Linked DNA regions of Anolis sagrei. The protein of the gene in region 1 binds, or shares a complex with, the protein of each later gene. Links are inferred from orthologs where the notes say so. Each region holds a gene or a part of one and is shown in the gene's direction. Other genes may lie near its edges.

Region 1 (7,584 bases):
CAGTGATGGTTGTTCTGCATTCTCATGGTGCAACCTTCCTCCCTCCCTCCTCTTATCCTTTTTTTTGTGCTCCACTGCCATGTAGTCTATAGGCACCACATTCGGTGACACCATTGGAGAGAAAAATAAACATGGTAGATTTGCAAAAGTGGAAAGTCATTGATGATGATGATGATGATGATAATAATAATAATAATAATAATATTCTCTCTAAACATGCAAAGATATCTCAGCCTTGTCTGTCTACCACCTGGAGGTAAAGACTCCTTTTAAAGCCAGATTTTTAAATGGTTTTATGTGTGATGCCCATGTGATAAAATAAACCTAGTTTTTTTCTATACCATGCCTGCAAACTTTGGCTCCCTATTCAGCTCTCTTGGGCAGAGAAGGCTCAAGACCTTGGGAAACTCGAATTCCCAGGGTTCCAAAGCCTTGAGCCTTGGCAGTTAAAGTGCTATCAAGCTGCATTCATTCAGCAGTGTAGATGCATTCTTTGAAGACTTGGTCTTGGATTGCAAAATAGTCTGAAACCTGGGAAGCTTCCTGTAGTCCAGGAGTGAGAATTGTATGGCTCTCTCGATATTATTGGATTGCAAGACGCAGTGGCGCTAGTCCATTTAGCCCAGTGGTTCCCAACCAGTGGTCTGCAAAAACTAAAATATGGTCCACAGCCTCACTGTTACTACACCATTGCAACAAGAGTGACTGGTCTCCAGAAACCCTTTTATAGTGCCAAGGCTTATCAAATATGGTTTTCTGTGGGAAAGCAGACTACTGGATGACATATGTTCTGTATCAGAAACTAGAGCTGATGTGGTCTATCCAATGTAGTTTTCTGAATCAGCACCCCAAATAACCAAACAGAATCTAAAGTTGACCAAAAACTGATTTGTAACCCTTTTGGTACTAATATTGGGGAGTGGTCCCTGGTCAAAAAATGTTTGGAACCACTGATTTAGCCAATGGAAAAGTAACACCTAAAGTTGTAGTCCAAGCACATAGATAGCCAGAGATAGAGTGCTGATGGAAGTAGAACAGTTTGTGGCAGGATGAAAATCATGTGTAGTTCACGTTTTACGAGTCTACACACTGTCTTGCCAGAGAAAGAAAATATGCCATACAGATGATCAGTAAAACACAAGTTTAATTGATAAAGTGCAGAGCGACATATATACAATCACGAGAACAGTTGCATTGACTCACACAATGTCTTTTGAGGTTCAAATCGCATTTAAGCATCTATGTGGAAGATCCTCTTCCAACAGCTCATGAAGCAAGAACTGTCTTTCTCTGTCTGCAAGCTCTTGCACAGCTAAAGCCTAAACATGTAACTGTTGCCAAAACTCCCAGGCTCAGCTAGCTTGGCCTGACCAATCAGCTTCGTGCTTTGCATTTTCAGTTAACACACTCACCAACTGATTTTTTTACATGCCCTAACGCACTCCAAAACCTGAGGTTTTTGTTTTTTTGTTGTTGTTGTGTCAGGAGTGACTTGAGAAACTGTAAGTCGCTTCTGGTATGAGAGAATTGGTCATCTGCAAGGACGTTGCCCAGGGGATGCCCGGATTTTTGATGTTTTATCATCCTTGTGGGAGGCTTCTCTCATGCCCCGCATGAGGAGCTGGAGCTGATAGAGGGAGCTCATCCACACTCTCCCCGGATTCGAACCTGCGACCTGTCAGTCTGAGGTGAACCTTAGGTGAAGGTAAACCTAAGGTGAAACCTGAGGTGAAGCTAAGCCAGTGTCAACCCAAGAGAAACTTCTTGGAAGAAACAACCTTGATGATTATGTTCCAAATATTTGGAAAACACTGAGCCAGTTCCAAATGCCCCCATAACGAATTTTAGGTATGGGGCTTTCCAAGTAAGGTGGCCTCCATTCTGGTTCCCAGAATCTCTTCAGGACATTTTCTCATGGACATATCTTGGTCCTCCTTGACATAGGGTTGCCCTTGAAGACCACCTGCCTTACCCAGTTGGAATTGCTGGGAAGTGCCGTTGGTATATTTAGAACATATAAAAGGAGATACTCCAGTGCACAGCATGTTGCCAGATTGCGGAATTTGTGGCGGCGTTGGATGCCCAGAAATGTCCTGCTTGTTGCGGTTAATTGAGTCATCTAATTCTAGGAACTATTCCTGACTCTCGTTTTCTTAGCGTCCTATGATCCAGTGAATTCGTACTGTTTGGCCCTGTTTGGCATTTGCTAATATCAACTTCGTGCCGAATTGCACGCCCTAGAAGACAATACATCTTACCTGTTTATTTCCTATATAAAAAAAGGATAATTGGGCACCAAATGGTCAAGGACGGAACTGTTGATTTTTCCAACACAATAAGGCTCCTTCTACACTGCCATATAAAATCCAGATCATCTGATTTAAACTGGATTATATGTCAGTGTAGGCTCATATAATCCAGTTCAAAGTAGATAATGTAGATTATCTGATTTGATAACCTGGATTATATAGCAGTGTAGAAAGGGCCAATGCAGCCCAAATCTAACTGTGAGTGCATCTACAGCAGGCATGGGCAAACTTTCTAATTTTGGGGCTGCGTGCAAGGACTCCCTGCGAAGAGGACTGGCTGCCCAGTGATTGAAGGAAGGAGGGGAAGGAGGAAGGAAATAGAGAAGGAAGGAAGGACAAAAGGGAGGAAGGGAGGATGGAAGGAGAAAGAGGGATGGAAAAACAAAAACGAAGGAGAAAGAGAGAGGAAAGAGGTAAAGAAGGAAGGGTGGAAAGGAAGGAAGGAGGGTGGGATAAAGAGGGAAGGAAGGAGGAAGGAAAGAGAGAAGGAACAAAAGGGAAGGAAAGGATGTAAGGAGAAAGAGGGAGGTAAGGAGGAAGGAAAGAGAGACAAAAGGGGAGGAAGGATGGAAGGTTGGAAAGGAGGAAGAGATGGAAGGAAGAGAAAGATGGAAGGAAAAACAAAAGGGTAGAAGGGAATGGAGGGAGGGAGAAAGAGGGAAGGAGAGAGAGGAAAGAAGCAAGGGTGGAAGAGAAGGGAGGAAGAGAAGGAGGAAGGAAAGACATAGGAAAGGAAGGATAGGATCATAAGGGAGAGGAGGGACTGAGGAAAGAAACCAAACCATTTAATTTAAACCCACCAAGACACCCATGACATCATGGTAAACACACCTGGACTTCAAAGTCTTATCTCGAATCCTCTGAGAATATCTAGCCTGCTTTTCATGCTCTGTGTTCTCAGGTCTAATCTATACTCCCTTGAAAACTCCCCTTCTTTCAAAAGCCTTTTCTCAAGGGAACTGGTACTTTAATTTTCCCATCGCCTAGGAACGAGCGGAAGAATTTCAAAATACCAGCCTCGTCTGCCTGCAATTCCCTCATGGATACCTTATTTTGGAAATAATTTCCCCCCTCATCCTCTGAACATTCAGAAAAATCCTCAGATGCTTGCCAGACTACAACACCAATGACCCTCCTTCACGTGAAGCTTCTTCTGATGAAGATACTCTATACCAGTGGTTCTCAACCTGGGGTCTCCAGATGTTTTTGGCCTTCAACTCCCAGAAATCCTAACAGCTGGCAACCTGGCTGGGATTTCTGGGAGTTGTAGGCCAAAAACATCTGGGGACCCCAGGTTGAGAACCACTGCTCTATACCAAAAGGCAAAGACTGGTACTTTGTGGTGTTCATTTCAGCTATGAAAAATATGGTCCTAGCTCTTCTGTAAAAATCTTATTCCGCCAAGGGACTGGGAACAGGTATATATGAATCTACAGTATTACTATGGAAATTAACCTTGAATAAATAATACCAATGCCAACAAAACTACATACAGCAGAGTCTCGCTTATCTGACCTTTGCTTATCTGACAATCTGTCTTATCCGACACCCCCTTTTCCTCCAGCATTCCCCCTTCGATGAAAAGAGCGCTCCCCAACTCTCTCTCCAGGGGCAGGGGACGGCTAGTAATATCACAGATTTGAAAGGGACCCCTAAAGAAGGACTATGATATGGTGCATGTTCCAGAGTAGGCAAACCAGACAATCTTTACATCAACACTGACAAAGAAACAATAAAAATACTGTTTACTCACAAGCATAAAGACATTACATATATTTGAAACCAACACTTTTTCATTACTTTATTTTCCAGATCATTGGACTGGGCCACAGCAACGCCTGGCAGGGGACGGCTAGTATGTAACACACACACACACACACAAACTATACTAGGCCTGGGCCAACTTGGGCCCTCCAGGTGTTTTGGACTTCAACTCCCACAATTCCTAACTATCTACCGGCTATTAGGAATTGTGGGAGTTGGAGTCCAAAACACCTGGAGGGCCGAAGTAGGCCCAGGCCTGCCGTATACATTGCATACCTTCTTTTCTGACTTTCCTTCACTCATTTGAAAACGAGGCTGAAAAAAAATGGCCGCCCTCAAACCGGAAGTCCTCCCAGGCTTCGCCAAGACCAGCCATTCTAGGAGTTCATCATGGCATAGAGAAGGCGGCTGAGGCATCCCCTACGCGCCGGAAAGAGGCAGCTTAGGACCGGAAGCGGAAGTTCTCAGTGGCGCTTTTGCGTGCCAGAGGCGTTTGACGGAGTGAGGGAAAGCAGCGATGGCGGACGTCACCGCCCGGAGCCTCCAGTACGAATATAAGGCGGTGAGTGGAGGAAAGGAGGCTGAAAGGGGGGTGGTTTATTTATTTACTTACAGCTAAGATACCTCCGATAGAGTTACAAGGTAGGTAGATGCAGGGAACGCCGTGGAATTCAGGAAGGCCTTCCCTCGACAGGTTTCCCCATGACTTAGAATCATAGAATCAAGGAGTTGGAAGAGACCTCATGGGCCATCCAGTCCAACCCCATTCGGCCAAGACGCAGGAATATTGCATTCTAATCACCCCTGACAGATGGCCATCCAGCCTCTGTTTAAAAGCTTCCAAAGAAGGACCCTCCACCACACTCCGGGGCAGAGAGTTCCACTGCTGAACGGCTCTCACAGTCAGGAAGTTCTTCCTCATGTTCAGATGGAATCTCCTCTCTTGTAGTTTGAAGCCATTGTTCCGCGTCCTAGTCTCCAGGGAAGCAGAAAACAAGCTTGCTCCCTCCTCCCTGTGGCTTCCTCTCACATATTTAGGCATGGCTATCATATCTCCTCTCAGCCTTCTCTTCAGGCTAAACATGCCCAGCTTCTTAAGCCGCTCCTCATAGGGCTTGTTCTCCAGACCTTTGATCATTTTAGTCGGCCACCTCTGGACACATTCCAGCTTGTCAACATCTCTCTTGAATTGTGGTGCCCAGAATTGGACACAGTATTCCAGATGTGGTCTAACCAAAGCAGAATAGAGGGGTAGCATGACTTCCCTAGATCTAGACACTAGGCTCCTATTAATGCAGGCCAAAATCCCATTTGCTTTTTTTGTCGCCACATCACATTGTTGGCTCATGTGTAACTTGTTGTCCACGAGGACTCCAAGATCTTTTTCACACGTACTGCTCTCAAGCCAGGCATCATCGTCCCCCATTCTGTATCTTTGCATTTCGTTTTTCCTGCCAAAGTGGAGTATCTTGCATTTGTCACTGTTGATCTTCATTTTGTTAGTCTTGGCCCATCTCTGTAATCTGTCAAGATCGCTTTGAATTCTGCTTCTGTCCTCTGGAGTATTGGCTATCCCTCCTAATTTGGTGTCATCTGCAAACTTGACGATCATGCCTTCTAAAACACCTGGGGACCCACAGGTTGAGAACCACTGGGTTAAGCAAACGAACCCAGAGGGTGATTCTCCCCAATGCTTAATTATTTATTATTTATTTACAGTATTTGTATACTGCTTTTCTCACCCAGAGGGGGACTCAAAGCGGTTTACACATAAGTAATGGCAAAAATTCAATGCCAGTATAAACAATTACAATTATACACAACAATTAGACATGAATCAAATTAAAACAAAACATCCATGAGCAATAAATGAGCCCATGAGCTTACATCCATGGGCATGTAAGACATACCTGTTTTGACAGGCCTTTGATTTTTAATATTGCTGGTTTTAAATTGTTTTTAAATTGTGTTAGATTTTAGCCGTTTTTGTAAGCCACTCCGAGCCCCAGGGGAGTGGCGGCATATAAGTTCGAATAATAAATAAATAAAATAAAACAATCATTAAAACAATAAAACAGTCTCGTCCGTCAAATCGCCGTTCCAGTCATTGTCTTTTCGAAATGCTGCATACATTTAGTTCTACTGCCCTAATGCCTGGTCCCAAAACCATGTTTTTAATTTCTTTCTAAAAGCCAGGAGGGAGGGAGTGGATCTTACCTCATTTGGGAGTGTGTTCCATAGGTGGGGGGCCACAGCCGAGAAGGCCCTGTCTCTCATCCCCACCAGGCGCATCTGTGCTGTTGACGGGAGTGAGAGCAGGGCTTCCCCGGATGATTTTAGATTACAAGGTGGGACGTAGGGGTGGATATGTTCGAACAAGTAAGCTGGGCCAGAACCATATAGAGCTTTATAGGTCACAACCAGCACTTTGAATTGGGCTCGGAGATGTACTGGCAGCCAGTGGAGCTGGCATAGCAGGAGGGTGGTATGCTCCCTGCATGTCACCCCAGTTAGTAATCTGACTGCCGCCCGCTGAACTAGCTGAAGTTTCCGAACTGTCTCCAAAGGCAGCCCCACGTAGAGCGCATTCGGGATGTAACCAGAGCGTGGACCACCGTGGCCAGATTAGATCAGTACAGGCATCATGTTCTTATGAGATTTTGTTTTGTTGGTGCCTCTTGAAATCCTGCTTTACAGTGTTATGTTTTATTGGTCTTTTGGAACATTACTTGCTTTTTAGAACTTTTATCTTTTACTTTTCAATAAACTACAAAGACTTCAGTCTGTGTGCAGTTTTGGTGATTTCAGCATGGTGAATCTACTCTGAGGTGCGACAAACATGTTATTTCTCATAATGAGGTAAAAATGGTAAGAATTCTCCAGTGTCCTGATCCGCCTTCTTGTTTGTTCTTTTTTCTAGAACTCCAATCTCGTACTCCAAGCTGACCGCTCCCTGATTGACAGGACTCGTCGTGATGAACCCACCGGCGAGGTCTTGTCGCTTGTCGGGAAGCTGGAAGGCACCCGGATGGGGGACAAGGCCCAGAGGACCAAGCCCCAAATGCAGGAGGAGAGACGAGCAAAGTGAGCAGACCATTTTACAGTTGCACCTAGAGTCAAACCCATGTTGCTTATTGTTCCTGAGCTGTTAAACTACTTGAGCTTACATTGTTTTGTCACTCAGAAAGCTGAGCTGTGTACAGCCAGCTAACAGGAGCACAACAATATTTGCTTGTTGAATGTTAAACCAGGCATGGGCAGACTTGGGCCCTCCTGGTGTTTTGACAAATGACAAATGGCCTGTATCATGACTTGAACTGCCATTCAATCTGATGTCCTATATTATATTAACTGATACTGTTAATTTGCTCTGTTTCCATGATTTTTCCTATGCCGTTATACATTGTCATCTACCTTACTAAACCACTTTATCCTTTAACTAGTTCACGTAGTGGTTTTCCTCCCCCCCTCCAAAATTAGTCTGCTGTTATTGTTGTTGCTAGCTATTTTT
Region 2 (7,500 bases), on another chromosome or scaffold:
CAGCTGGGCCTGAATGTATTCATCAATGTCATGGAGCCCTGTCACTGGAACAGCAAAGGATACATACATCAAAATAAATACAGGAAGCTATTCCTCACTTTTTGTAAAGCTAACTGGAGAATTGCAATTGGCTAAAGATTTTGGAAATTAGATACAGAGGATTTATGTTTTATTGATTTTATTGTTTATGGAATTTTATGGATGTTTATATGTTTTTAACTGTTTATATTATTGTGGCATCGAATTGTGCCAGTTTTGTAAACCGCCCTGAGTTGCCCTCGGGCTGAGAAGGGTGGTATAGAAATATAGTAAATAAATAAATAAATAATAAGTCCCAGGTGGACTGAGAATGTGGCTGCAGTACACAGACATAAGCAATTATGACAGGAGCACAGAAGCCATGAAAGAAGTAAGGTACTGGAGAAATATAGTCAGTGCTACACATTTGTGGGTTCGACTTTTGTGGATTTGATTTATAGACTTCATTAAAATCTCTCTAGGAATCTCCAGGTCCTCCAGTGTGATTCTATGGTCAACTTCCTCCAGGCCATGAAGTCACGCTGAAGAATACTTAAAAGAACACTTCTCTAAGGTCTCTTGGCTTTCCAGTGCAATCCTATGGTCAGTTTCTAGCAGATGCTGAGCCAAGAACCAAGCAGAAAGATCTAGAAATTCCTAGAGACATGTTTTCTCAGCTAATAAAAGCAACAATTTTTCATGTATGATATTTTACATTTAGGGAGGCACTGTGCCTTTAAGCCCAGAGAATGTGGGAGGCTGACTGCACCCTGTTTAGAGATGGCAGATTCTCCCTGGCCAATGGTGCACAATCCTGGGAAAAGTAGAAACAGTAAGATTATGGCTGTGATTTCTACCTACCATCAGGAGCTCCATCACACACCACCAAGTCAGCAGGTTGCCCTTCAAAATGATGGATTATCTCTTCTGCTGTAGAGACCTGGAAGCAGAGGGAGAGAAGTGATGGGGTGGGTTATAATGGCCAAAGGGTTGCTATTAAGTAGGCCTTAAATTCAAGGAGAGGTAGGGTGGATTTTGAATTGGGTTGGAAACACAATACCTTGGTAATGTCCCCCTGAATTTGAATAACTCCAGACAAGGGAGCCATGGCTTGCAAATCTACAGCCACTATTTTGACATCTTCATTTTTAGCACCTTCTCCTCTGTAGAAAAAAAAGGGTGTGTGTGTGTTGAGGATGAATTTCTGGTTATCTCCTATAAGGTGGTAGTCCCCCATAAACACTACAACAAAGTGACTTGCTTACTTCAGTTTTCGGCTCAAAACTTGGCTCCAGCTCCCAGGAGCAGCACAGAGATCCACAGCCCTTGAGACACCTAGAGAGAGAAAAGAGGGAATAAGAAAGGTAAGGGGATGCCATGGCAAGAAGACTGCAATATGAGACTAGGAAGTACAACTCATGGGTTTCTTTCCTGAAAAAAGATAGTAGGGGAAAAAGGAAGGTTTCCAAGTTTGCTCAAATTTCGAAATGATAGCCTTGCTTCTGAGCCCCAAAATATTATCTCCATGGCAAACAAACAGTATTCTGTATATGCTCAAAGGAAGTGTTCTATTGCCAAGCTTGAAGTGATTTCTGCACAGTCCACTGTAAACACTGCAAATTTGTGAAAATGGGTGGCATTCAGAAACCTTTTTCCAATTTTTTTGTGATCCCAATATTGAGCTAAAGGGGACCCCATTTGAGGTTGGGACTCACAGTTTAAGAATAGTGGTCTAGACCAGTGATTCTCAAACTCTGATCCTCCAGATATTTTGGACCTTCAGGAAATCTAGAAGTTGAGGTCCCAAACATATGGAGGGCCAAAACTGACAGCTATTCGGCAGAGTAAATTTGATTATTTCTTGCAGCTTAACTTCCCATCACTTTTATCCTACCAGATAAAAGTCCTCCTTGGCTAAGATGGCTAGGATTGATCAGAGTTGCAGTACAAGAACATCTGCAAGATTGTACCACTCCCATGCACAACTGAAATGTTTCACCCCACACATTCTGGATAGATGAATTCCAATTGTATGATGGGGCTCACCTTGAAACAAATGATATTCTTCATCCAGTTGGAGAAGTTTGAAGGCGCTGCGAGCTCGCCAGCCTTCCTCCTTCGCCAAGCGGTAGTAAATGTCCCGTTTGTCCTTAGAGGAACGTCCCATCTTCCCTTACATGAAATGTCCTGGATGTGAGAGAGAAGAAAAACAATTGACTACTATGTCAGCAAGAATTATGAATTGAGCAGCAGCATTGGCTTATTATAATCAATGAAATCAAGGCATCCATATTGGTTAAAAGTGAAGATGGTTCAAGGAATAATAAAGCTGAAGAGCCCACGTGGGTCATCCAGTCCACCCCTTGCCATGCACAATCAGAGCAGACAGCCTATCAAACCCCCACACTATAGGAATGGAAAACATGTGTTTCTAGACAAAAGTTCCTAACCTCTCTGACCACTGGCTAAAGCCCCTTCCACACAGCTGTATAAAATCCCACATTACCTGCTTTGAACTGGATTATATGGCAGTGTGGACTCTGATAACCCATTTCAAAGCAGATGTGAATTATCTGCCTTGATATTCTGGGTTATACAGCCGTGTGGAATTACCCCTTCTACACTGCTATAGAAAATTTATTTATTATTTATGACATTTATATGCCACCCTCCTCACCCTGAAGAGGACCCAGAGCGGCTTACAAGATATATATACATTCAATATATATTATTAGCATAGTATAATGTCAGTATTATATATTACTAACTTTCACCTGCCACGGGTTGCTGTGGCCCAGTCTGCTGATCTGGAAAATAAAGTAACGGGAAAGTGTTGGTTTCTAATATATGTAATTTCTTTATGCTTGTGGGTAAACAATATTTCTTGCTGTTTCTTTGCCAGTGTTGATGTGGAGATGGTCTGGTTTGCCTACTGTAGAACATGCAACATATAATTTTTCTTCTTTAGGGGTCCTTTTCAAATCTATGATACTATATCTGTGTGTGGATCATATCTATCTATTTATATCTATGGCTGGATGGCTCTTTGTCAGAAGGGCTTTGATTATATTTTCTTGCCCTGGTGAAAGGAGTTGGACTGGATGGCCTTAAGGCAGCATTTCTCAACCTGGGGGTCGGGACCCCAGGTGTGTGTGTGTGTGAGGAGGTGTCAAAAGGGTCACCAAAGAAAAACACAGTATTTTCTGTTGGTCCTGGGGCTTCTGTGTGGGAAGTTTGGCCAATTCTATCGTTGGTGGGATTCAGAATGCTCTGTGTAGGTGAACTATAAATCCCAGTAACTACAACTCCAAAATGTCAAGGTCTATTTCCCCCAAACTCCACCTGTGTTCGTATTTGGGCATATTGAGTATTCATGCCAAATTTGGCATAGATCTTTCATCGTTTGAGTCCACAGTGCTCCCTGGATGTAGGTGAACTGCAACTCCCAAACTCAAGATCAATGCCCTCTAAACCCTTCCAATATTTTCTGTTGGTCAAGTGAGTTCTGTGTGCCAGGTTTGGTTCAATTCCATCATTGATGGAGTTCAGAATGCGCTTTGATTGTAGGTGAACTATAAATCCCAGCAACTACAACTCCCAAATGAAAAAATCATAATTTTTGAGTGATGGTCACTCTTTGTGTTGTGAAATGTTTTGTTGCCAAATTTGGTGTAATTGGTTCTTTTGTTTTTAAGGTACTCATTATGCACAGAGCATTTTAATATATATACTATAATTACCATTATATTGTAATTTTATTAGTAATATGACATGTAATATAAAATATATAATTATTATATTGTATTATTATTAGTATTATATTGTTTTACATTACAATATTATAAATATATGTATATACAATATATTATATAAGTAAACCACAGGAGACAAGATGGAACTGTCTTCTGCCCCCCCCCTTCCAGACTGTATAGACTCATATAATCCAGTTCAAAGCAGCTAATGTGGCTGATCTTCTTTGGTAATCTGGATTATATGACAGGGGGCCTTAAAAGCATCTGAAAAAATGGGAGGAGTTTTCCTGACAAACCGAGACAACGGAAGGACATCGGGTATCCAGTGGAGACATCCATAAACGATGATCTCTTTATAAATCTGCAAACCGAATAAGAAAAAGCAAAGGTCTCTATAATTACCAGTGTAAATTCAGACAGTGCTCGATTGTTATCTTCAGAGAGCAGAGAAAAGCGTGGAAGAGAAGAAGCGCATGCGCAACATGACTTATGTGCGGCCGGCTCCGGAAGGAAGTGCTGTTGCCGCATTGCATCCTGGGAGTTGTCGTCCTCAGGCGCCTCTGTTTCAGAACTTCGATAAAGAAGCGGGAGTCTCTAAAACTTCGTCTCCCATGATGCAACGCAACGACGTAAGTGGCGATGGGGGCGGGGCAAGGCAGGGGAAAATAAGATGGCGGAAGGAGCAGAGAAGTCAGCGGCCACTCCGCCGGCCCCGGTCTCTTTCGGCTTCACTCGGACCACTGGGCGGAGGCGGTTTTTGGTGGTGACCGGGCAGGATGGCGGCGAGGCGAAGCAGGAGCCCGACTTCCTCTCAGCCGTCGAGGGACGGGAGTTGCAAAGGTAGGCCGGCTTCCTGCTCTCGACCAGCTTGGGCCTAGGAGCAGGGGGCGCCTCTCAAGGCGCAGCTACATTGTGGAATGAGCGCACTTCGACACCGCTTTAACTGCCTCGTCTCAATGTTGTTAAATTCAAGGATTTGACAGTGTTATTTCAATGTTTAAATGGGCAGTACTTACTTTGAAGGTAGTTGTTCTACTCCAGAAACTTCGTTTTTGTGGCTGCCGTAAACTATGTGGAATTGGTCGATCCTCTATTGAGATATTCATTGAAAAACTAGAGCAAATGTGTTGCAAGATGCCCCAGTGCAAGGTCTTTGCAGTTTAATAATCTTTTCCATGTTTTTATGATAGACCCAATTAGGAAATTTATTTATTTATTTATTTCGAGTACTTCTAGCCCGCCCTTCTCAACCCCCGAGGGGGGACTCAGGGCGGCTTACAAAAAGGCACAATTCGATGCCGACACAAAATACACATAACGTACAAAACCATAATTAAAACAATTAGCACAGTTAAAACAGTCGGTATATAACACATCAATAAAACTAATCTCATGCTCAGCATTCGTCTTTCAGAGTTCCATAATTCCATTCATTAGTCAATTCCTGTCCATCGTCAAAGTCCTTTCTTTATCTGCCAGATTATCCGAATGCCTGGTCCCAAATCCATGTTTTCAATTTTTTCCTAAAGGAAAGGAGGGATGACACTGATCTAATTTCCCTGGGGAGTGAATTTCACAGGTGGGGGGCCACCACTGAGAACGCCCTGCTCCTCGTCCCCACCAACCTCACTTGTGATAGAGGCGGGGTCGAGAGCAGGGCCTCCCCAGAAGATCTTAGACTCCGAGGTGGGACGTAAAGGGAGATCCGTTCGGACAGATACACTGGGCCGGAACCGTATAGGGTTTTGTAGGTCAAAACCAGCACTTTGAATTGTGCTTGTAATTGGATCGCCAGCTAGTGGAGCTGACACAACAGGGGGGTGGTATGCTCCCTGTATGACGCTCCGGTGAGCAATCTCGCTGCCTCCTGCTGGACTATTTGGAGTTTCAGAACAGTCTTCAAAGGCAACCCCACGTAGAGTGCGTTGCAGTAATCTAATCGGGATGTAACAAGAGCGTGGACCACCGTGGCCAGATCCAACTTCCCAAGGTACGGGCACAGCTGGCGCACAAGTTTTAGTTGTGCAAAAGCTCTCCCGGCCACCGCTGGGTTACATTGATAACCCAGGAACAGAAACCGTGTTACAATGAGGCAGGCTGGCTCTGTCAAAATTACACTCTTTAGAGACTTACTAGTGTTCAGATTGTAGTTGTTGACAGCTTTCGGCTATTGTTGTTGTTCATTCGTTCAGACATTTCCGACTCTTCGTGACCTCATGGACCAGCCCACGCCAGAGCTCCCTGTTGGCCGTCACCACCTCCAGCTCCTTCAGGGTCAATCCAGTCACTTCAAGGATCCCATCCATCCATCTTGCCCTTGGTCGGCCCCTCTTCCTTTTTCCTTCCGTTTCCCCCAGCATCATTGTCTTCTCCAAGCTTTCCTTTCTTCTCATGATGTGGTCAAAGTACTTCATCTTGGCCTCTACTGTCCTTCCCTCCAATGAGCAGTCGGGCTTTATTTCCTGGAGGATGGACTGGAGGAATCCTTTCCAGCCAACAAACCTTTATATGGCCCTGGGTATATCTATATAAATAAAAATGAAATGTTCGTTTGTGGGATTAACATAACTCACTGGACAAATTGACACCAAATTTGGACAGAATACACCTATCAGGCCAACAAGTGACCGTCACTCATAAAAACACTGAAAAACACAGCAGCAATCCAAGGCACGCTCAGCTCTTTCCTCCAACACCACAGTTCAAAAGCATCTATTTTCCTTTGCTCAGTCTTCCTTATGGTCCAGCTCTCACATCCGTAGGTGACTATGGGGAATACCATTGCTTTCGGCTAACAAATGTATTATAACATGAAGTACAGTTTACTTGCTAAGTGCACACAATTCATTGGTACATATAAGTCTATTACTAGAGATCTGGATCGAGATGGCAAATTCTTAGAACCATAGAATACTAAGCATGGAAGGTGCAGCACTCAATACATAACGGAAGCACTTTTGAAAGATGCCCATCTGACATCAGTTTAAAGGCCTCTAAAGGAGGAAGGCTCACTGCATTTATTAGCTGGCTTATCTAGTGCCAATTGTGTATATTTGTGATGCTGTAGATCAGGGGTTCTCAAACTAAAGCCCGGGGGCCGGATATAGCCCTCCAAGGTCATTTACCCGGCCGTCGCTCAGAGTTGACCTAAGTCTGAAACTACTTGAAAGCATACAACAACAACAATCCTATCTCATCAGCCAAAAGCAGGTCCACACTTCCCACTGAGATACTAATACGTTTATATTTGTTAAAATTGTTCTTCATTTTAATTATTGTATTGTTTTTAAATGTTTTTTGCACTACAAATAAGATATGTGCAGTGTGCATAGGAATTCATTCATGTTTTTTTTCCAAATTATAATCTGGCCCTCCAACAGTTTGAAGGACTGTGACCTGGCCCTCTGTTTAAAAAGTGTGAGGACCCCAGCTGTAGAGTATCTGATGCTATACAAGTAGTCCCTGAGTTACAGACATGATAGGTTCTGTAGATTTGTTCATAAGTTGAATTTGTATGTAAGCGGAAACAGAACTGTAACTCCAGCCAAATATGTATACAGTATATGTATGTGTGTGCACACATATACATATACATGCGTGCACACAAATACACATGCTTTAAATAGCATGGGGAAGGGTTAAGACCCCTGTGGTGGTTGTTTGGCTGTCTATGCCCCTGTTAAGAAGATTTCACTTCACTTTCTGACCCTGTGGTAACTAGATTTTGGAA
Region 3 (8,198 bases), on another chromosome or scaffold:
CCCTTGACTATTGAGGAAGACAAATGGATTTGATGAGCCTGGAAAAGCAAATATATGTCTTGTGTGTTTTCACCTCTTTGAATGCTAGCACATGGGTTTGTGGACGAGCCACAAAAGTAGATAAAACATGGACCGGGGGTTACTGGTCAGTTTCTGGGTGATTCCATAGAATCATGGGGCTCCCAAGGGCCATCTAGACCAACCCTCTGCAAGTGCAAGAACCTGAAACATCCCTGAGAATTAGAATGCTTTAAATTTAAAGGAGAATTCATTCTTATCTCAGGCAGTCAATTGCACCAAGAAGAAAATTATAAATGTCAGTCTGATACCACCATCCCAAACTTGCACTGTCAATTTTTGTGTGTGGAAGGGTTATGTTTTGTTGCACCTTGCAAACCTCCGGTTCTCATCTCATTTATTTTAACGTGTGGAGTGTCCCCACTTAAGAGGCATTTGTGTGTGAGTAAGTTCACGCAGGTATTGCAAAAGAATGATTTATAACCGAGCTGTTGTAATGCTTTAGATTGACAAAGTGCTCTTCACAACGGTAGTTCGTGATACGGATCTGATTAAATGGGCCATGGTACACACAAGCTTTCGCCAAGGTGTTTGTTCTGTTCTTTCGGATTGCATAAAATGTTTTGCTGTGTTTGCTTTAAAGGTGATATAGGGGAACCCCTTCTATACACTGTTTTCTATGGATATTATTATTATTATTATTATTATTATTATTATTATTATTTCCAGCACTTATACCCCGCCCTTCTCACCCCCGAGGGGGGACTCAGGGTGGCTTACACAACGAGGCACCATTCGGCACCCATACAATTACATTTATACAAGTGACAATCATAATAAACAATTAAAACAGTTATCATGGTTAAAACAACGATGCAAATTAACAATCAGTAACACAGCATATAGAACAATTCACGTGTTCAGCATTTGTCTTTCCGGGTTCCAGATTCCAATCCATTATACCTTTCCTAGATGGTATCCATTCTTCACCTGCTCATTGACCAAACGCTTGGTCCCACAACCAAGTTTTGAGTTTTCTCCTAAAGGAGAGAAGTGAGGTCACTGTTCTGATTTCCCCGGGGAGCGAGTTCCACAGGCAGGGAGCCGCCACCGAGAAGGCCCTGCTCCTCGTCCCCGCCAGCCTCACTTGTGACACTGGCGGGGTCGAGAGCAGGGCCCCCCCGGCCAATCTTAAACTCCGGGTGGGACGTAAAGGGACATTATACTGATGGAGTATAATGGGAACTGTAGTATGAACGTTGTTCCCACGTTGCTCATCATGCAAATCCTCTTTAGGAAATGCCTAGTTGGCATAGAACGGTCTGTTTCTATTGGAGGGCTGTTCAGGACCAGAGGCAGGGTACCTCAATATTTTTTATTTTCCCTCCCAGAGAATAATAAAATCATAGAATGATAGCGTTGAAAGAGACCACATGGACCATCTAGTCCCGTGATGGTGAACCTATGAGACGCGTGTCAGCACTGACACGTCGCATAGCTATTTTTGATGACACGCGGCCACATGCGGCCGCATACAGAGAAGTACACCTTATAAGAGCCAATCTAATTCCATTCTTAAATCTGTAAAAGGCTCTACAAATTTAACATCTGCACGTTTGAGCATTGTTCACTCCATAACTCAGCATGGAATATACATTATGTTTTTTTTCCTCAAAGTTGACACCCCACCCAAGTTATGCTCAGGTTTTTGGCAAATTTTGACACAGTAAACTCAAAAGGTTGCCCATCACTGATTTAGTCCAATCCCTGAGATACTGAGAGGTTAAGAGATGGGAAAGTGAAAATACAGTGGCTTGAATATGTGTTGTCAACGGCTTGCATGGCGGGAATAACTGGGTTGCTGTGAGTTTTCCAGGATGTATGGCCATATTCCTGAAGCACTCCATAGTGTTGCCCCTATGATGCACTTTCCCCAGTCCTAAATTGAATGCCTACCCCACTGTTTAGCCTTTTTGGGTTCCCCTTAATTACATATTTTCTTTCCTACTTCATCCAGGGTTTTGTCATTTTACCTCCTCCATTTGGCCTGTGTTAATTTGTTTTATTTATCCTATTTTGCTACTGTACATTATTTTATTTTGATGTAATTTTTTGTTTTCAGCATTCTGTATTTTATTTTGTTGTGTTGTATTTGGGCTTGGCCTCATGTTAGCTGCCCTGAGTCCCCTCTGGGGAGCTGGTGGCGGGATATAGATAAAGATTATTATTATTATCATCATCATCATCATCATCATCCTCTCCGGATGTTTCACCCACATCTATGTCAGGCATCCTCAGGGGTTGTGAGTTCTGTGGAAACTAGGCAAGAACATAAATCTGTGGAATTATGTTCAGGGTGGGAGAAAGAACTCTTGTCTGTTTGAGGCATGTGTGAATGTTGCAATTGGCCGCCTTGATTAGCATTGAATAGCTGTGCAGCTTCAAAGCCTGGCTGCTTCCTGCCTGGGGCAATTCTTTGTTGGGAAGTATTAGCTGGCCCTGATTGTTCCATGTCTGGAAACATTTCTCAGCAAAGGATTCCCCCAGGCAAGTAGCAGCCAGGCTTTGAAACTGCAAGGCTATTCAATGCTAACCAAACCGGCCAATTGCAGCATTCACACTTGCCTCCAACAGACAAGAGTTCTTTCTCCCACCTGTTCACCCTCCCACCCTGGACATTATTCCACAGATATGTAAACCCAATTTTCCTAGTTTCCAACAAACCTCACAACCTCTGAGAATGCCTGTCATAGATATGGGCGAAACGTCAGGAAAAAATGCTTCTGAAACATGACCATACACTCCAGAAAACTTGCAGCAATCCAGGTTTGAATATGACTGGCAAGATGGAAGGAAACATCTCAGATCCGAAAAATTGAGGGAAAAAAGACTGCTGCTGGTGAGTCCTGAATGACTCAGCTCCTCAGGCACCAATGATACCATTGTGTGCCAAAAAGGTCATTCCCTGTCCCTTTGTGAAGCAGGCTGTTCATGGCTCCCTGCTGATGGCCTCCTCTGCCGGCTGCAGGCGGATCAATAGGGTGTCCACTTCCAGACAAGGTTTTAATTGGCCTGCCTTGTTGACTGAAATGCTACAGCAGAGTTCCATAGCTGTGCAAGTCCAGTGCTCTTGTGTTTTTCCACTGCTGCTTCTCTCTCTCTCGTTTTTTGATATGAAAAATCTTGCAAAAAGGAGTATAGCATTTAGATCAAAGGAAGTCATGGTGCTCATCTAGTCTGCTTTGCTCGGACTTCATCTGGAATAACACTCCGTTCAATCCTGGGCAAAACAATTTAAGAGAGATATTGACAAGTGGAATATGTCCAGAGGAAGATGACTAAAATGTTCAAAATCTAGAGACCATATATACCTTTGAAGAGCGTCTTAAAGAGCTAGGTCTGTTTAGCCTCCAGATGAGAAGGTTGAGAGGAGACACGAGAGTATAAATATTTGAAAGGCTGTCATAAGGAAGAGGGGGCAGGCTTGTTTTATGCTGCCCTTGGAATTAGGACTTGGAGCAATGGGTTCAAATGACAGGAAAGGATATTCTACTTGAACATTAGGAAAAGCTTTCTTACTGTAAGGGGAGCTGTTGAGCAGTGGAACTCTCTGCCTCGAGGTGTGGTGGAAGCTCCTTCCTTGGAGGCTTTTAAACAGGCTGGTGTGGCCATCTGTTGGGGGTGCTTTGATTGTGCTTTTCCTGCATGGATAGGGGTTGGACTAGATAAAAACAATAGTAATTTATTTTTTTAGCATAAACATCAAATGAAAACTATTATTATATTATTATTTCTATTCTGCTGTTAGATCTAACATGGAGATGCAAAGTGGCTCCCAACAATTTAAAATATACAAATATTTATTTATTTATTATTTACGACATTTATATAGAATCATAGAGTTGGAAGAGACCTCATGGGCCATCCAGTCCAACCCCATTCTGCCAAGAAGCAGGAATATTGCATTCAAAGCACCCCCGACAGATGCCCATCCATCCTCTGTTTAAAAGCTTCCAAAGAAGGAGCCTCCACCACACTCCGGGGCAGAGAGTTCCACTGCTGATCAGCTCTCACAGTCAGGAAGTTCAGATGGAATCTCCTTTCTTGTAGTTTGAAGCCATTGTTCCTCGTCCTAATCTCCAGGGAAGCAGAAAACAAGCTTGCTCCCTCCTCCTCCCTGTGGCTTCGTCTCACATATTTATACTTGGCTATCCTATCTCCTCTCATCCTTCTCTTCTTCAGGCTAAACATGCCCAGCTCCTTAAGCCGCTCCTCATAGGGCTTGTTCTCCAGACCCTTGATCATTTTAGTCGCCCTCCTCTGGGCACCCTCCTCTGCTGCCCTTTTCACCCCGAAGGGGATTCAGAGCGGCTTACAAGGTATATATACATACAATATATTATATTATTAGCATAGTACAATGTCGATATTGAATATTACTATTTTGTACTATACCATTATATTGTAATATTATTACTAATATTACATGTAATATAAATATAAAATTATATCATATTAGTAGTAGTATATTGCATTACATTATAATATTATACATACTACATGTATATACAATAAATTATACTACATTATATTATAAATTTATTGTAAATTATTATAAATTCTCCCTCCAAACTATAAATATTAAAATAGGATCAAATACACACCTTGGTTAAAATCTGATGGCTTTTTTGCTAGGAAGGGACTGGATCCCATTGCACTGAGCCATAGTAATGCAAGTGGTGTCAAACTGCATTAATTCTACAGTGTAGACGCACCCTTAGTTATTAAATTCAGTGTTGTAATGTATATTAGGAGTTACATGCATTAATTATTGTGAGATATGAGGTTTGAGATTTAATTGCATTAGACGCATTTATGACACTTTTCAGGGCCAAAAAAAGAAAGGAAATCTCTGAGCTGCCAGCCTTTTGGAACTATCAACAAAGCTGCGGTTGCGCATGCGCAGTATCTCGGCTTCCAAAGCGGCGCGTGAAAGCAGCAAAGAGCACGAGGCAAGGGACGATCGTGATTGGCTGCTCCCGGAGAAGGCTCGACCTATCCAGAGAGAGGACGCGACCTGACGCTCGCCGAAGCCTGCCGGGAAGTAGCGCGCATGCGCAAACTCACACAGGAAGAGAAACCAAGATGAAGTAAGTTTTGGGTGCATCTACGCTGTAGAGTTAATGCAGTTTGAGCCCGCTTTAACTGCCAGGGCTCGGTGTTATGGAACTGTGGGAGTTGGACAAATTTGACAAGGTCTTTAACCTACCTTGGCAATTTTAAATTGGCATTCTATTCTTACTGTATTTTTAATCATTGTACAGTTTGGCTTTTTAAGATATGTATTTTATAGTAATGTGTTCTAAAATATGTATTTTAGTAATGCATTTTAATATAAGTATTTTATAGTGATGTGTTTTAATATATGTATTTATAGTGGTGCATTTTAATATATGCATTTGATAATAATGCATTCATTAGGCATTATTATCAAATGCATCATTATCAACCGCCTCGAGTCGCCTTCGGGTTGAATGGGGCAGTATATAAATATGGTAAATAAATAAATAAACAAACAATGCATTTTAATATATGTATTTTCTTGTATGTGTTTTATGTTGCTGTGCTTTGACAGTATTTATTTATATTTATTTATTTATTTGGGGTTCTTGTACCCCGCCCTTCTCACCCCGAAGGGGACCCAGGGCGGCTTACAGCTGCAAGGCGCACTTAGACGCCTGCTACACAAACAATCATCACAAAAAATATAACAGTACAAATTCCCACAATTCAACATTATCCAATAAAATCAGTAAAATGATAAAATCAGTAAAAACAATACAAACCTGGAACTTCCTCCTACCCATCAGTGTACAATTAACTCAAAGATCTGTTTTGGTTCCATTTCGACAATCCTGCCGATCTCACACATCTGATTGTCTTATTTGGTTGTCATTGTCTAATTGTCTGGTTGCCCAAAGGCTTGGTTCCACAGCCATGTCTTCACCCTCCTCCTGAAGGAGAGGAGGGTTGGTGCTGTTCTGATTTCCCCCGGGAGTGAATTCCACAGGTGGGGGGCCACCACTGAGAAGGTATTGTTGTTGTTATTATTATTTATTTGCTATATTTATATACCACCCCTCTCAGCCCGCAGGCAACTTGAGGCGGTTCACAAGGCAACAATTCAATGCCCAACAACATCATAAAAACATTTTAAAATATTAACATATAATATCAACCATAACAAGTTAGTAAAACAAATCATTTTGTACCCCATCTCAAGGGAAAGTGTGTGACAAAAACATTATTATTATTATTATTATTATTATTATTATTATTATTTACATGTACATAATGTTACAGCACACATGCACATTAGGTCCAAGTGTCTCTTATTGTTGTTGTTGTTATTATTATTATTATGTTTATGTTTATTTATACCCCACTTTATCTCTTTTGAAGGAGACTCAAAACGGCTTAAATTAAAAGTATGACCACACTGTTCAAAATATACAAATATGCATACATTAAAACATAATTAAAAATGTTGTTGTTATTATTATTATTGGCTAATAGTCTTACAAATGATAACTCCCATGATTACACAGAATAAGCCATGGCAGTTATCGTCAACTCTTTTTTTTTCATGTCAGGAGTGACTTGAGAAACTGCAAGTCACTTCTGGTGTGAGAGAATTGGCAATCTGCAAGGACGTTGCCCAGGGACATCCAGATGTTTTATCATCCTTATTTACTTATTTATTTATTTGGGGTGCCTCTACCCCGCCCTTCTCAACCCCCTAGGGGGGACTCAGGGCAGCTTACAAAAGGCACAATTCGATGCCCAACAATTCACAAAATACAATATACAAAATTACAAAATAACGTCAACAGTTATAAGTAGTCCCTTCATGTCCCTTCACGAGGAGCTGGAACTGACAAAGGGAGCTCATCTGCGCTCTTCCTGGATTCGAACCTCAGGCCTGTCAGTCTTCAGTCCTGCCAGCACAAGGGTTTAACCCACTATGTCACCAGCGGCTCCTGGTCAACTGAATTAATTCAGTAGTTTAGATGCACCCTGGGTCATGGTTAATAGAAAGTTAAAACCTGGCTTTTTGAGCAAGCATTTGCAAATGCAGTGTAACTGGCAAATCTAGATCCATAGAATGACTAGACGAGGCAAGTCGAAAATTATTTTAGTAAGGAGACGCTGAGGACTTATGCTTTTATTCGTTTTATTTGATTTTATATTATAGGTTGAATGTTTTAAATTGTGTTTTATGTTGTTGGAGACATCGAATTGTGCCGCCTGTAAACTGCCTTGAGTTGCCTTCAGCAAATAAATACATAATAGAAAGCCATGTAGCAAATTGAGTCATGGAGAAAGGGTGGTATGAAAATGAAGTAATATAGTTGGAGATAGCAACCTTCTCAAGCTTCCTCTTTTTAATGTTTTGTCTGTTTATAATGTGTTGTTTATTTCCTGTAGTGTATGTCTTCTTTGGTTTGCAGTCTTCTTAGCTTTATGTACTAGAGGCAGTGGGAGGGGCTATAGACCATGTGACTGGTTCGGTGACTCCTTAGAATGAAGTTTAAAAGGATGGCAGTTGAGGAATGACAGTTGAGGCTTGAATCAGCTTGCGTACAGAAGCCAGTGTAGGAAGTTAGAAGACTGTTAAGGTTTGAGTCCCTTGGAAGTAGACTGTTATGAAAGAGAGCTGTCCAGAGCGATATAGTTTTGAAGAGACTGTTGAAGATTATTAAGTTAAAGATACAAACTGAAATGTTTAAAGTTTAACTTGATAAGAAATGTGCCTATATATTTAAATACATGCAGTTATGAGTATTGTAAAGAAGTCTACTTGAATCTTTGTCTGCTGAGAGCATAGAATAGAAACAAGATATTTACACGCCCAGTGATCATCCATTACCCAATAAACTATAAGAGCGCTTCTGAAATTCTGCTATCCAATAGGTTATGATCCTAACATAATAAATATAAATATTGAGAACCCCAATTATCCCAAGTCAGGTGTGGGATATGCAGTGTGGCTTTTGGTTTCAGCTCCCCTTTTCTGTTTTTACCCTTTTCTAGCCCACTTACTAAGGTGAAGCTGATCAACGAACTGAATGAACGTGAAGCACAGCTGGGAGTGCAAGATAAGGTTTCCTGGCATTCGG
Region 4 (7,244 bases), on another chromosome or scaffold:
AGAGAGGCTTCTCTCAGACTGAGAGCTCTCTCAGACTGAGGCATTACTAAGCAACAGGCACACCTACTTATATAGAAGTATAGCTTTTGCTGAGTCATTGCATTCATTCAACCCTTTCAGTGCTTGGCTCACATTTTTGTAATTAAAAATACGAGGGGTATTTTTTAAGTAATGTCCGTTTTGTTGTAGACACTAGTAGTTCGCGCGCATACTGCAACGAGCGCGTGCATCGTGTACCGGCATGCCTCGGGAACAACTGTGCTCAGTTTCCGCTCTGTAGCTAACCTGTACGGTTCTGTTCTGTGCTTTTAAAATGTTTAAGACTATCAACTCACCCTCTGCATGTGAGGTTCGCTCAGTGATACGGTTTTTGTCAGCAAGGAACCTGCCTGCTGCAGAAATTTATTGACAGATTTGTGAAGTGTACGGTGATACCGTTATGAGTGAAAGCAAAGTGTGTAAGTGGGTATGACAATTCAAATTTTTTTATTATTGTTATTGTGAAGCGCCTATTCTCATGAATCCTCACTTCAACTGAAGCCACCAAATTATCTGTAATCAAAGAAGGGCGACCGGAGCGGTCCTCATCATGGACGTTGTCACGGCCATCTTTGAATTGTCGTACCCACTTACACACTTTGCTTTCACTCATAACAGTCTCACCGTACACTTCACAAATCTGTCGATGAATTTCTGCAGCAGGCAGGTTCCTTGCTGACAAAAAAACGTATCACTGAGCGAACCTCACATGCGGAGGGTGAGTTGATAGCCTTAAACATTTTTAAAGCACAGAACAGAACCGTACAGGTTAGCTACAGAGCAGAAACTGAGCATTTTTAATTTTTTGACAGCTTTATCTTCAACTGGTGAGATTTCTTGATTGGGGAACATTGGGTTATAGCTTCTTAGTCTCACCAGGCATGGATCCACAGTCGGCCTGCTGCCGGTACCTGTTACCCACTTAATGGATCTCGGTATCCACACACTGGGTTTCGCTATCTGCGATCCAGATCTCAATATCTGCCACCCCTTGAAATTGCTCAATTTCAAAACTGAATTCATTCTACAGTGCAGATGCACCTTTAGTCTACCTCCTCAGATGCTTACAAAAGCTTATGTTACCATTTGCTTTCTCAAAGTTCTGCAATATCCTTTTTACATACTGGCGTTCCACATCATAGTCATATTTCGGGATGCAAGAGATAAGGGCATTTCACGGCATCTATACATAAAACAAAGAGATAATTGCAGAGGGTGTCCATTCATTTAAATGCAGAAGGTGTCAACATTTTGGGGGATCTGAGCAATAGAATCAAGCTGGAGGACCTCAAGATTCCTATGTGGCTCTAATGTGTCAACTATCAGAGGATGCATTGGTGGATCCAAATGGCAGAGAGCCATTTTTGGCTTTCCTAAGGGAAATTCTCATTACACTTTTAGATCAGGCATGGGCAAACTTCGGCCCTCCAATGTGTTGGACTTCAACTCCCACAATTCTGGTAGGCTGTTAGGAATTGTAGAAGTTGAAGTCCAAAACACCTGGAGGGCCAGAGTTTGCCTATGCCTGATCTAAAGTGTAATGAGAATTTCCCTTAGGAAAGCCAAAAAATGGCTCTCTGCTGCCATCTGGTGCAGACAAGGAATTTTTTTAATGTTGGTTGTCCAAGGTTTTTTTACTCCCTCCATCCTTTTATTTTAATCAGGGGGATAAAAAAGCACCCTGGGATTTGTAGTTTGGTGAGGCACCAGTACTCATTGGAGAGAAGGAACTTGCAAAACCACAACTCCCACGACTCCATTGCATGGGGTCATGGGAGTTCAAGTGGAGTCGAACTGCAACAATGCTACAGTGTTGATAGTTACTTCTCTTGGAAAACTGCAACTCCATAGCATGGGGTCATGGCAGTTCAAGTGTGGTCAAACTGCATCAATCTATATAAATAAAAATGTAATGTTCGTTTGTGGGATTAGCATAACTCAAAAACCACTGAACGAATTGACACCAAATTTGGACACAAGACACCTAACAACCCAATGTATGTCCTTCACTCAAAAAAATTGATTTTGTCATTTGGGAGTTGTAGTTGCTGGGATTTATAGTTCACCTACAATCAAAGAGCATTCTGAACCCCACCAACGATGGAATTGAACCAAACTTGGCACACAGAACTCCCATGACAAAACAGCAAATACTGGAAGGGTTTGGTGGGCAGTGTCCTTTGGTTTTGGAGTTGCAGTTCACCTACATCCCGAGATCACTGTGGACTCAAGCAATAATGGATCTGGACCAAACTCTATACGAATACTCAATAGGACCAAACTCTATACGAATACTCAATATGTCCAAATGTGAACACTGGTAGAGTTTGGGGAAAATAGAATCTTGACATTTGGGAGTTGTAGTTGCTGGGATTTATAGTTCACCTACAATCACAGAGCATTCTGAATCCCACCAACAATAGAATTGGGCCAAATCTCCCACACAGAACCCCTATGTGGGCCACAGCAACGCGTGGCAGGGGACGGCTAGTGCTACAATATATATAGATACTTCTTTTGGAAAACTACAACTCCCACAACAATGCCATTGCTTTGAGTCATGGGAGTTCAAATGGGGTCAAACTGCATCCATGCTACAGTGTAGATAGACACGTGTCTTGGAAAACTACAACTCCCACAACTCCATTGCACTGAGTCATGGGAATTCAAGTGGGGTCAAACTGCATTAATGCCAAGTATACATCAATACTGTAGATAGATATTTTTTCTTGGGAAACTACAACTCCCACGACTCCACTGCACTGAGGCATGGCAGTTCAAATGGGGGGGGGGGGGAACCGCATCCATGCTACAGTTTAGAATAGATACTTCTCTTGGAAAGCTACAACTCCCACAACACCACTGTATTAACTCATGGGAGTTCAAGTGGGTTCAAACTGCATCCATGCTATAGTATAGACACGTGTCTTGGAAAACTACACCTCCCACAACTCCATTGCATTGAGTCATGGGAGTTCAAGTAGGGTCAAAGTGCATCCATGCTACAGTCTAGATAGACGCTTCTCTTGGAAAACTACAACTCACACCGCCCCATTGCATGGAGTCATGGCAGTTCAAGTGGGGTCAAACTGCATCCATGCTACAGTGAGTAGATACTGCTCTTGGAAAACTACAACTCCCACAGCCCCTTTGCATTGATTCATGGCAGTTCAAGTGGGGTCAAACTGCATCCATGCTACATATAGATAAACACTGCTCTTGGAAAACTACAACTCCCACAACTTCATTGCACTGAGTCATGGGAATTCAAGTGGGGTCAAAATGCATGAATGCTAAGTATACATCAATACTGTAGATAGATATTTTTTTTCTTGGGAAACTACAACTCCCACGACTCCATTGCACTGAGGCATGGCAGTGCAAGTGGAGTCGAAATGCATCCATGCTACAGTGTAGAATAGATACTTCTCTTGGAAAACTACAACTCCCACAACTCTATTGCATTGAGTCATGGGAATTCAAGTGGGGTCAAGCTGCATCCATGCTACAGTATAGATAGATACTTCTTTTGGAAAACTACAACTCCCACAACTCTATTGCATGAAGTCATGGGAGTTCAAGTGGGGTCAAACTGCATCAATGCTACAGTGAGTAGATACTGCTCTTGGAAAACTACAACTTCCCATTACACTGATTCAAGGCAGTTCAAGTGGGGTCCAACTGCATCCATGCAACAGTATAGATAATGCTCTTGGAAAACTACAACTCCCACAACTTCATTGCACTGAGTTATGGGAATTAATGTGGGGTCCAACTGCATCAATGCTACAGTGTAGATATATACTGCTCTTGGAAAACTTGCACTAAGTCATGGCAGTTCAAGCGGGGTCAAACCGCCTCAATGTTATAGTGTAGATAGATACTTCTCTTGGAAAACTACAACTCCCAGGGTTCCATACCATTGAGCCAAGGCATTCAAAGTGGCGTCAAATTGCATTCATTGTATAATGTAGATTCACCCCAAAGAAAAGTGAAGCCGCTTCCCTTTTAAATGCCGTGTTAATTAATCAGCCGGCCCCTTTAAGATATGGAACAATCAAGGGAAGAATTAGGCCGCGGCTCCTTTAAGAAGGCAGCCCGGTTCCCTTTCCTGCTTCACGCGAAGGCAGCGCTTCCGTTTGCTTCGTCTCCTGAGCGTTCGCAGAGGCTCTCACCGCGCATGCGCAGCCCGGGAAGTTCTTTCTGGTCCAGGGGCTTCGATCCACGCGGGTTCTGTGCGGCGGGAGTTGCCGGCGGCTGTTATGGTGAGTCTGTGACGTCACAGTGCTGGCCATTCCATCAAGCACCCTCTCCTCCCCCCGGGAAAGTAAAAGCATTAATTCAATGGGGTGAAACTCCTCCATTGTTGTGATTGTTGGTCTCTTGTCTTTGGGGTCTTCTCTTAAGCAGGCACAGGACTCGTTTGCAATTCAGGAAGGGGAACCTGCTTGCAGGGGTGTCCATGCACTCGTGTCTAATAGGGGTGCATCTATACTGTAGAAGGAGTGCAGCTTGACATCACTTTAATTGCCATTGCTCAATGCTATTGAATCATGGGAGTTGTAGTTTGGCGAGGAAATGTTGATCATTTCCGCTACCTTGGCAGCCACCTCTCCACCAAAGTCAACATCGACACCGAAATACAACACCGCCTGAGCTCTGCAAGCGCAGCATTTTTCCGAAATGAAGCAGGGAGTGTTTGAGGACCGGGACATCCGTAGGGAGACCAAGGTGCTTGTCTATAAAGCTATTGTCCTCCCAACCCTGCTATATGCCTGTGAGACGTGGACTGTCTACAGACGTCACATGCAACTCCTGGAACAATTCCATCAGCGCTGCCTCCGGAAAATCCTGCAAATCTCTTGGGAAGACAGCGGATAAACGTCAGCGTGCTGGAAGAAGCAAAGACCACCAGCATTGAAGCGATGGTCCTCCGCCACCAACTCCGCTGGACCGGCCACGTTGTCCGGATGCCCGACCACCGTCTCCCAAAGCAGTTGCTCTACTCCGAACTCAAGAACGGAAAACGAAATGTTGGAGGACAGGAAAAGAGATTTAAAGATGGGCTCAAACCCAACCTTAAAAACTCTGGCATAGACACTGAGAACTGGGAAGCCCTGGCCCTTGAGCGCTCCAGCTGGAGGTCAGCTGTGACCAGCAGTGCTGCAGAATTTGAGGAGGCACGAGTGGAGGGCGAAAAAGAGAAGCGTGCCAAGAGGAAGGCGCGTCAAGCCAACCCCGACCAAGACCGCCTTCCACCAGGAAACCAATGCCCTCACTGCGGAAGAAGATGCAGAGCAAGAATAGGGCTCCACAGCCACATATGGACCCACAAGAATATTGGAAGGCAATCATCCTCGGAAAGCGAGGGATCGCCTAAGAAGAAGAAGAAGTTTGGCGAGGCACCAGCTGTTATTTGGCAGAGAAGGATAAAGACCTTGCAAAACTATAACTCCCATGTATCATTTTTGCTGGTGTCAAAATGGCTACATATGCCTTTAGCTTAGATCAGTGGTTCTCAACCTTCCTAATGCCGCGCCCCCTTAATACGGTTCCTCATGTTGTGGTGACCCCCAACCATAACCCTAACATTATGAATCGCCATGTAAATAGTGATCTGCAGGATGTATTTTCATTCACTGGAGCAAATTTGGCACAAATACCTGATATGCCCAAATTTGAATACTGGTGGGGTTGGCGGGGGGATTGAGTTTGTCATTTGGGAGTTGTAGTTGCTGGGATTTATAGTTAACATGTAAACAAAGAGCATTCTGAACCCCACCAACAATGGAATTGAACCAAAGTTAGCACAGAGAACTCCCATGATCAACAGAAAATACTGGAAGGGTTTGGTGGGCATTGACCTTGAGTTTGGGAGTTCTAGTTCGCCTACATCCAGAGAGCACTGTGGGCTCAAACAATGATGGATCTGGACCAAACTTGGCACGGATACTCAATATGCCCAAATGTGAACACTGATGGGCTTTGGGGAAAATAGACTTTGACATTTGGGAGTTGTAGATACTGGAATTTATAGTTCACCTACAATCAAGGAGCGTTCTGAACCCCACCAATGATAGAATTGGGCCAAACTTTCCACACAGAACCCCCATGACCAACAGAAAATACTGTGTTTTTTGATGGTCTTTGGCGACCCCTCTGACACCCCTTCGCGACCCCTTCAGGGGTCCTAACCCCCAGGTTGAGAAACACTGGCTTAGATAGATGGAGCCCCTGGTGGCACAATGGTCAGGACTGCTGACCAAAAGGTTGGTGGTTCAAAGCCAGGGAGTGGGGTGAGCTCTCCTCTGTCAGCTCCAGCTTCCCATGTGGGGGCATGAGAGATGCCTTCCACCAGATGGTAACACGTCTGGGCGTCCCCTGGGCAATGTCCTTGCAGATGACCAATTCTTTCACACCAGAAGCGACTTGCAGTTTCTCAAGTCGCTCCTGACACACACACACACACACACACACAAAAGAAGCTCAGATAAGTGATAATGCTGAAATATAACATTTACTGTGACACAATATTCTGTTTAGAGAGAAGAATGAAAGCAACACCTGGGAACTGTACCTCCTACAAACAGGGACACGAGCCAGCTGTACACTGCAAAATCAATGTAGTTTGATGCCCCTTGACCATCCATGGATCAATGCTATGGAGTCCTGGGAGTTGCAGTTTGGTGAGGACCAGTTCTCTTTGGAAGAGAAGGCCAAAGACCTTAGAATAGTAGAGTTGGAAGAGACCACATGGGTCATCCAGTCCAGTCTCCTGCCATGCAGGAAAACCACAATCAAAACATCCTCAACAAATGACCATTCAGTATTTTTTTTAAAGCCTCCAAAAAAGGAACTTTCATCACACTCCAAGGCAGAGAGTTCCACTGCTGAACAGCTCTTACAGTCAGGAAGTTCTTCCTAATGTTCAGGTGGAATCTCCTTTCCTGTCATTTGAACCCATTGCTCCATTGAGTCCCAGTGTCCAGAGCAGCGGAAAACAAGCCTGCTCCTTCTTCCTTATGAGAGTCTTCCAGATATTTATACAAAGCAATCATGTCATTCTCTTCTTCAGACTGAACTTTTCCAGCTCCTGAAGCCACTCCTCATAGGGATCATTTTAGTGGCTTTGTGAAACTACAACTCTCACGACCCCATAGCATTAAGCCACAGTGATGTCAAATTACATTAATTCTACACCCAGT

The links. Proteins that work in one complex are often made in the same cells at the same time.
Region 2: SNRNP200 (region 1) and GPKOW share a complex: the UniProt entries of both Homo sapiens proteins name them as parts of the minor spliceosome. The link is inferred for Anolis sagrei from reciprocal best matches to the Homo sapiens genes SNRNP200 and GPKOW.
Region 3: SNRNP200 (region 1) and RBMX2 share a complex: the UniProt entries of both Homo sapiens proteins name them as parts of the minor spliceosome. The link is inferred for Anolis sagrei from reciprocal best matches to the Homo sapiens genes SNRNP200 and RBMX2.
Region 4: SNRNP200 (region 1) and LSM2 share a complex: the UniProt entries of both Homo sapiens proteins name them as parts of the U4/U6-U5 tri-snRNP complex. The link is inferred for Anolis sagrei from reciprocal best matches to the Homo sapiens genes SNRNP200 and LSM2.

Annotation. Positions count from the first base shown.
Region 1 is NC_090027.1:21,839,302-21,846,885, forward strand, and holds the start of SNRNP200 (U5 small nuclear ribonucleoprotein 200 kDa helicase), read left to right. Parts: upstream 1-4,526; 5' UTR 4,527-4,590; coding exon 4,591-4,635; intron 4,636-6,993; coding exon 6,994-7,157; intron 7,158-7,584. UniProt on the Homo sapiens protein: Catalyzes the ATP-dependent unwinding of U4/U6 RNA duplices, an essential step in the assembly of a catalytically active spliceosome. Plays a role in pre-mRNA splicing as a core component of precatalytic, catalytic and postcatalytic spliceosomal complexes.
Region 2 is NC_090022.1:179,133,927-179,141,426, reverse strand, and holds the start of GPKOW (G-patch domain and KOW motifs-containing protein), read left to right. Parts: upstream 1-4,398; 5' UTR 4,399-4,440; coding exon 4,441-4,610; intron 4,611-7,500. Other genes in the region: FTSJ1 (tRNA (cytidine(32)/guanosine(34)-2'-O)-methyltransferase), read right to left, coding at 1-44, 880-958, 1,079-1,181, 1,284-1,353, 2,065-2,185. UniProt on the Homo sapiens protein: RNA-binding protein involved in pre-mRNA splicing. As a component of the minor spliceosome, involved in the splicing of U12-type introns in pre-mRNAs.
Region 3 is NC_090030.1:10,484,446-10,492,643, reverse strand, and holds the start of RBMX2 (RNA-binding motif protein, X-linked 2), read left to right. Parts: upstream 1-5,096; 5' UTR 5,097-5,163; coding exon 5,164-5,168; intron 5,169-8,112; coding exon 8,113-8,198. UniProt on the Homo sapiens protein: Involved in pre-mRNA splicing as component of the activated spliceosome. As a component of the minor spliceosome, involved in the splicing of U12-type introns in pre-mRNAs.
Region 4 is NC_090022.1:21,207,057-21,214,300, reverse strand, and holds the start of LSM2 (U6 snRNA-associated Sm-like protein LSm2), read left to right. Parts: upstream 1-4,142; 5' UTR 4,143-4,301; coding exon 4,302-4,304; intron 4,305-7,244. UniProt on the Homo sapiens protein: Plays a role in pre-mRNA splicing as component of the U4/U6-U5 tri-snRNP complex that is involved in spliceosome assembly, and as component of the precatalytic spliceosome (spliceosome B complex).